Linked DNA regions of Macaca fascicularis. The protein of the gene in region 1 purifies or fractionates together with the protein of each later gene. This does not show direct contact. Links are inferred from orthologs where the notes say so. Each region holds a gene or a part of one and is shown in the gene's direction. Other genes may lie near its edges.

Region 1 (3,655 bases):
CATGAACCAAATAAGAAAAGACTATTAGAGGGCATTGTTAAAGATGGAGACAAAAGTTCTGAGTGGATCCTGATGTGTTCAGATGGGGCTGGTGCTTGGGAGGCTGCTCTGTGCTTACAAGAAGAGTTCTACCAGGTCCATCTTTATCACATCTTCTTTAATACTAAGTTCAGAGAGGCTTTAGCTCATTTTCCATTTTCTCGTGCTGTCTCCTCTGCCAAAGTGTCTATTTCTCCTGTCTCTATTACTGAGTCACACAATTGCTGTAGTCATTTGCAGTCTACTAGAACGATAACACACATTGGCATCAGACAGACCTTGGTTCAAAACCCGGCTCCACCAGTTTCTGTGTTGAGCTAGACCAAGTGACCTGATATGTTCGGTCTCAGTTCCTTATTTGTAAAATGGTGATAATAATTTTTGGTTAGGTAGTTAAAGTAAGGATAAATGATGCCTTCCGAAGAAGGACACAATTGGAATGGCCAGTTTACCCCTTGACCTCTCTTCGGTGGCATTCTTTATTCTGGAGCAAGGAGGGATGGCTGAGGGAATCTGTCTGTGGGTCCAACATGGCGCCGTCCTGCTCCTTGTACAAGCCTCAAAGATGGGGACAACCGTTTGGGAGCAGACATGTTTGTAGCACGTGATCCAGGCTCTGTCCCAAGGCAGCCGGAACGTGACTCAAGGTTGAGGCGGGGCTCCTCCTCCGCACCCCGGCGTCGAGCGTCTCGTGACAGGTACTTCCGCTCGGGGCGGCGGCGGTGGCGGAAGTGGGAGCGGGCCTGGAGTCTTGGCCATAAAGCCTGAGGCGGCGGCAGCGGCGGAGTTGGCGGCTTGGAGAGCTCAGCAGAGTTCCCTGGAACCAGAACTTGGACCTCCCCTCTTCTGTCCTCCGTTGAGTCTCCTCCTCGGCGGGAGCCCTCGCGACGCGCCCGGCCCAGAGCCCCCAGCGCAGAGGCCGCGGTAAGCAGCGGGCCCAGCCCGGCCGGCGGCCTGGCCCCATCCCCCTCCTCAACTCCTCGGTCGCCAGGGCCTCGCGTCCTCCCTGTCCTCCTGGCAGGCTCCAGGCCCAGCCCTGGCCTCGCGGGCAAACTCGGCATCGCTCAGGCCCACGAAGCAGGCCAGGACCCCACCCGGGTTGGAGAGGTCGGAGGTCGTCGGGCGTGACCTCTGGCCGGGTTGCCGGCCCCGGCCGCCGGTCTCGGACGCTCTGTTTACTGTTGGCGTCGATCTCAGAGACCCAAGAGGGTTCATTGACTTGGACTGCCCTGCGCCGCGGCAGGACGCGCTAGGCGGTGGAGTTATTTAGCGTGGCGAGCAGGAGGGTGTCAGAGCCCACGCCGCCCGCCGCCGTGCCCACCTGGCGGGCATGGGTCACAGGCGCTGGGGGCCGAGCCGCGTTCCCATCCGGCTCTTCAGTTGAACAGCCTGACCCTGTTAGTGGGAGAGGTTCCCTGACGGCAACTGAGTCAAGGCGTGAGTCAGGTCACGTGCGCTGGGATCGCCTCAACACTTGTGTACATTGAGGCGCCTCTGGCGCTGGAAGACAGGGAGCTTTTTGTCCTAGGCATGTTACGGTAAATCCTGAGAGAAGTTTTTCAACTTAGTCGGGGAAAGATGGTAGTTGGATGTAGAGTTGTGTTTCCATTCGGACCGTGTTGGGGGCCTCTTTCTGCATTCATTTTACGCTTGATACCTAATGGGTCATAAGGGGAATATTGAGAATACTGACAGCAAATATTTGAGCGTTTGTTATATGCTAGGCAGCGTGGCAAGACCTTTTAACAGATCATTATGTTTAGTTCTTTGAACAACCCTCTAAAGTACCACTGTTGTGCCCACTTAACACAGTGGGAAATTGAACAGAGAGGCTAAACCATTTGACCAAGGTCACACAGCTAAGTTACGAAGCAAAGATGCAAGCCCAGGCAGTCAGACTCCAGAGCACTTTATTCAATTTGTAGGTTATACTGCTTTCACGTGCCCCTGAAGCGTGTGGTTTATCTTTTGCCACCTGGTATCTGTACCTCACTGCCTTCCACCACCTCCTTTCTTTCTGTTGATGTCGTTTGAAAGTCTTTCTGGTAGCATCAGTTCTCTCTTAAAGCCATAAGAAATGCCGTTTGCGGCTTATCACACATATTGTAGTGTAGTTGAATTAGGAGCTCTTGAATACTGGCGGGGTACTTAACTGAGGTTTGAAAAATTTTGCAGGTAGGCCTGGCAAAGCTGCCTAGCGAACCTTTCTTACAACCTTAGTTGATGGCTGTCCAGCCAGTTGGTTCTTCCCTATTCAAAATACTGCATCTTTGGTTTCCTAAAGAACAGGCTCTTGTCTCTTTCTTGTGACTTAAGCAGCTGATGAGGCACATGATTTCTCATCCATGGATTAATAAAGTCTCCTCTTAGTGTGTTTCTTTCTTCAAACCTGGGAAGGTTTGTTCAGATTTGGATTTAAGAACTGGAAGGTGAGTTAGGAGTGCTTCTCCTGAAGGGACTGGCTAAGTTAAAGCTTAGCGTTCACAATCCTGTTGTATTCAAATTTGTCTTTTTTATTTTTTTTTTAACTTTGCTACCCAGCCTAAAATATTTAAGTGAGTAATAAGTACTGTAGCTTTATATAATGTTTGAGTTTAGAGGAGAGTAATGATAGGCACCTTTTTATTCATTCATGAAGTATTTTGAGTATCCATTGAGTATCAGCAATGTATCAGGCGTTGTGGGATGTTGACTTAGGGAGATAGGCATGGTTCCTGTCCTCAGGGAATTTTTAAAAGGTGAATGATCTTGGCCAGAAATTCTATTGTGGAATGATTTGGTGGTAGAACTTGAGGCTTTTTGGAAAGAGTTATTTCTCATTTCTGCTGATGAATCCGTAGTAATCCAAAGGATGGTGTTCTGGCTAACTTTAAGGCTTTGTTAATTTTAACAACAGCATTTGTATGCTCTTCAGAGAGTGTAGAAGATAATATTACAGTTTCTAATTTATCACATCTTTTAAAGAGTAACCTTCAACACTCAACTTGTTTCTCCTTTTGCTCTGGTGGCATTTGTTTTATTTTATTTATTTTTTGACACGGAGTTTCTCTCTTGTTGCCCAGGCTGGAGTGCAATAGCGCGATCTCAGCTCACTGCAACCTCTGCCTCCCAGGTTCAAGCCATTCTCCTGCCTCAGCCTCCCGAGTGGCTGGGATTACAGGCATGTGCCACCATGCCCGGCTAATTTTGTATTTTTAATAGAGACAGGGTTTCTCCATGTTGGTCAGGCTGGTCTCGAACTCCCTACCTCAGGTGATCTGCCTGCCTTGGCCTCCCAAAGTACTGGGATTACAGGCATGAGCCACTGCGTCCGGCCGACTCTAGTGGCATTTTTTTGGTTCACTCGAGAGGTAGTCCATGTCACTACCATTACCTTGCACTGCAGTGTCTTTGAGCAAAGGTACATTTGGACATTTGGCATACTGGATTTTTTTCTTCAGCTGGCAAGAAAGTTTAATGTAGCACTGATATTGTGTCGGCCATAGTTTCAGTACCATTCTACATAGAAAAGCTGTGCTACCCTATCTCCCACAAACTTTCTAGGTTCCCTTCAAGAGAAGATTTGGATTTTGCATTTGTGGTAGAACTGCATGAGTAAACAGAGGGTGGAATGTAG
Region 2 (3,651 bases), about 11 Mb from region 1:
TGCCACCATACCTGGCTAATTTTTTGTATTTTTAGTAGAGATGAGGTTTCACCATGTTGGCTGGGCTGGTCTCGAACCCTGACCTCAAGTGATCCACCTGCCTCGGCCTCCCAAAGTGCTGGAATTACAGGCGTGAGCCACCACGCCCAACCAAAATAATTTTATATAAGAAAAACACCTATGTGGAAATGTTGGCTACTTATTTACAGGATAATTTAAAAAGGTTAGGCATTAATGTAGAACAAATCAGACAATTAAGCTTTAATAGATTCTGAATTGCTGTTTTGTGTCTTAGCATTCAAATCTGGATGGTGCATGGTCCTGTAACTTTTAAATTGTTATAAAGACATGTTTTCAGTAATAGAAGTATATTAGTTAACAGGCAAACTGTTGCACATAAACCAAATCTTTGCTCAAGCAAACTTTTAGATGTATTGTAAATGTATTAAATATGGACTTCAAGTTTGGAAGTGGCCCCAAGAATTCCCATATTAAGAGCTTGTTTGAAGTCAAGTTTTTCAGGAGCACTTTGCCTCTTAACGTTGTAGAAATAAGTGTATCTTCCTGATCTTTTTCATTTTCTGTTACTTCCTCTTTCAATCATTTATTTAAAATATCTTTATTAAGAATTGCCTTGTTTTGGTTTAAAGATATGGGACATAGGAGGACAACCCCGATTTCGAAGCATGTGGGAGCGGTATTGCAGAGGAGTCAATGCTATTGTGTAAGTGGTTTTTTTGTTTGTTTGTTTGCTTTTAAATCAATTTAGGCATCAAAGAAGAAAGTTTATTTTAGTATTTCTGGAGGCTCAATTTTTTTTTTTTTTTTTTGAGACGGAGTCTCGCTCTGTCACCCAGGCTGGAGTGCAGTGGCCGGATCTCAGCTCACTGCAAGCTCCGCCTCCCGGGTTCACGCCATTCTCCTGCCTCAGCCTCCCGAGTAGCTGGGACTACAGGCGCCTGCCACCTCGCCCGGCTAAGTTTTTGTATTTTTAGTAGAGACGGGGTTTCACTGTGTTAGCCAGGATGGTCTCGATCTCCTGACCTCGTGATCCGCCCGTCTCGGCCTCCCAAAGTGCTGGGATTACAGGCTTGAGCCACCATGCCCGGCCTAGGAGGCTCAATTTTTATCTTGAAAATGAAAGTCTTTCTTAGCTAATATCCTAGTGCAAGTCCATTAACATGGGATTTAAAAAAATTAATCATAGAATAAGATCTTTATGTTTTTTGTTTATGGAGCCAAGAGCTAAGGGGTATACATGTTTTACTATCATGTATTAGTCTCTAAAAACAGTCTAGTTAAAAAGTATTAAAGAGTGCTGAGCCTTTCTTTAGGACATAGTTTATTTTGGTTAACAATTTCAATAATGTAAATCTTACGAAAATTAAAAATCAGTAATACCAGTTGTCGTCATCAAGTCATATGGAGAAGGTATGTTGAGATCACTTCATTTTTTTAAGTTACATGATAGATGCTGCAGATCGTGAAAAGATAGAAGCTTCCCGAAATGAGCTACATAATCTTCTAGATAAACCACAGTTACAAGGAATTCCAGTAAGTACGGAATACTTGTTATTTTACATTGTAATTATATAATGATATTCATTATGGTAATTATACAATGATATTAATTATGTTTGAAATCAGTAACATCTTCTTTTTTAAAATCTGGAAGACTTGTTTACCGTGTATCTGCCATATACTGGGCATTGTGGTAAGTATGAATCTCGTAACCAGATATCTACTAAACTACTGTGCATCAGGAGCAGTGCTTAGGCCCAGAGATAGAGTGATGAACAGAAATCAGTAGAAACATACTCCTTGCCGTCATGGACCTTATGGTTTAGTGGGAAAGGTAGATACTCTGAATAATGCAGCTTTAAGTGCTAGGAAGAAAGGTGCAAGGGGCTATGAGAGTTGTAATTTAGAGGGGAGATTTGATCTAGTTTGCAGGAGGAAGGAGGGATTCACGAGGAAGTAATGCTTGAGCTGAGATCTGAGGGATACATACGAATGTGAGGTATATGACAGCTGGAGGAGAAGAGAGTTCCAGGTAAAGGCCTTTGGGTGGGAGGAAGTGGGAAACTGAGAAGAGGCCAATCTCTAGAATACATTTAGGAATTTGCATTTGGATTAGGAATGCTCAACCAGTAAGTATATAATGCAAATCCAAAAAAAATTCCAAAATTCGAAACACTTCTGGTCCCAGGTATTTTGGATAAGGCGTACTAAACCTGTATTAAGAATAGCAGAATGTGGCTGGGCGCGGTGGCTCACGCTTGTAATCCCAGCACTTTGGGAGGCCGAGATGGGCGGGTCATGAGGTCAGGAGATCGAGACCATCCTGGCTAACACGGTGAAACCCCGTCTCTACCACAAAAAATTAGCCAGGTGTGGTGGCAGGTGCCTGTAGTCTCAGCTACTCGGGAGGCTGAGGCAGGAGAATGACATGAACCTGGGAGGTGGAGCTTGTAGTGAGCCGAGATGACGCCACTGCACTCTGGCTTGGATGACAGAGCGAGACTCCGTCTCAAAATAATAATAATAAAAAAAAGAATAGCAGAATGCATAGCATAGACTCAGAATATTTTAGATAGAAGTTGGCAACCACACACTGAATTAAGGGCACTTCCATTGTAGGAGTTAAGCGAATACCAGTATGAGCAATGAAATGAATGAGATAGGCCACCACAAAATGCCTTAATATTGTGGAATGTGTTAACATCTTAATTTTATGTCTTCACATATCAAGATGATAAACTTCTGTGACTTTTTCTTACATAAAAGTGTGCTCTTAATATCTTTTCTTTTTAAAGGTGCTAGTGCTTGGAAACAAGAGAGATCTTCCTAATGCCTTGGATGAGAAACAGCTAATTGAAAAAATGTATGTCTTGAATATGCTATTTTAATAATTTGCTTCTAAATTACCATATTTTGCCCACTTGTTATGTTATTCCTAATGATCATAGCCATATTTTTTAGATAGATAAATTTTAGCCTATCAGAGAAGTGAATCCTAACATTTTAGGATTGCTACAATGATTTCTTCAGTATAGTAATAAAAGTAATGAGTAAAATTGAACAAAGTGATAAGTATGACAGCTGTTCTAAGCACAAACTTATCCTCTTCTTCTCATAGGAATCTGTCTGCTATTCAGGATAGAGAAATTTGCTGCTATTCAATTTCTTGCAAAGAAAAGGATAATATAGGTAAGAAATGACTGGTAATTTTGGAAGAAATGGGTATCATTGGAAGGAATGTCTGTGCTTCTTACAGCTTATTATCTCGATTTCTTATTAAGTGACTTCCTTTACAGAATACTGTTGCTTTTGCTTGAGAAAAAAGAATAGATGTTATACCTTTTGACAACAAATATAGTGAATCTTCACTTTACATTATTGATGGCTTCTTGGAAATTGCAGTTTTATCTCTCTGTCTCTCTCTCTCATATAAATATATATAAAATATATCTAATATATAATATATGTAATATGTTATATATATTTATATATAAAATATACTATATATAACATATATTATATATATATATTTTTTTGAGACAGTCTCACTCCTTCACCCTGGCTGGAGTACAGTGGCGTGATCTCGGCTTACTGCAACCTCTGCCTCCCGGGTTCAAGTGATTCTTGTGC

What was found. The genes of interacting proteins can lie anywhere in the genome.
Region 2: the proteins of RAB7A (region 1) and ARL8B purify together in Homo sapiens (affinity purification with mass spectrometry; 4 studies listed by BioGRID and IntAct, with this or other methods). This does not show direct contact. The link is inferred for Macaca fascicularis from reciprocal best matches to the Homo sapiens genes RAB7A and ARL8B.

Annotation. Positions count from the first base shown.
Region 1 is NC_088376.1:154,694,820-154,698,474, reverse strand, and holds the start of RAB7A (ras-related protein Rab-7a), read left to right. Parts: upstream 1-760; 5' UTR 761-963; intron 964-3,655.
Region 2 is NC_088376.1:143,386,311-143,389,961, forward strand, and holds part of ARL8B (ADP-ribosylation factor-like protein 8B), read left to right. Parts: intron 1-650; coding exon 651-724; intron 725-1,460; coding exon 1,461-1,554; intron 1,555-2,816; coding exon 2,817-2,884; intron 2,885-3,139; coding exon 3,140-3,210; intron 3,211-3,651. UniProt on the Homo sapiens protein: Small GTPase which cycles between active GTP-bound and inactive GDP-bound states.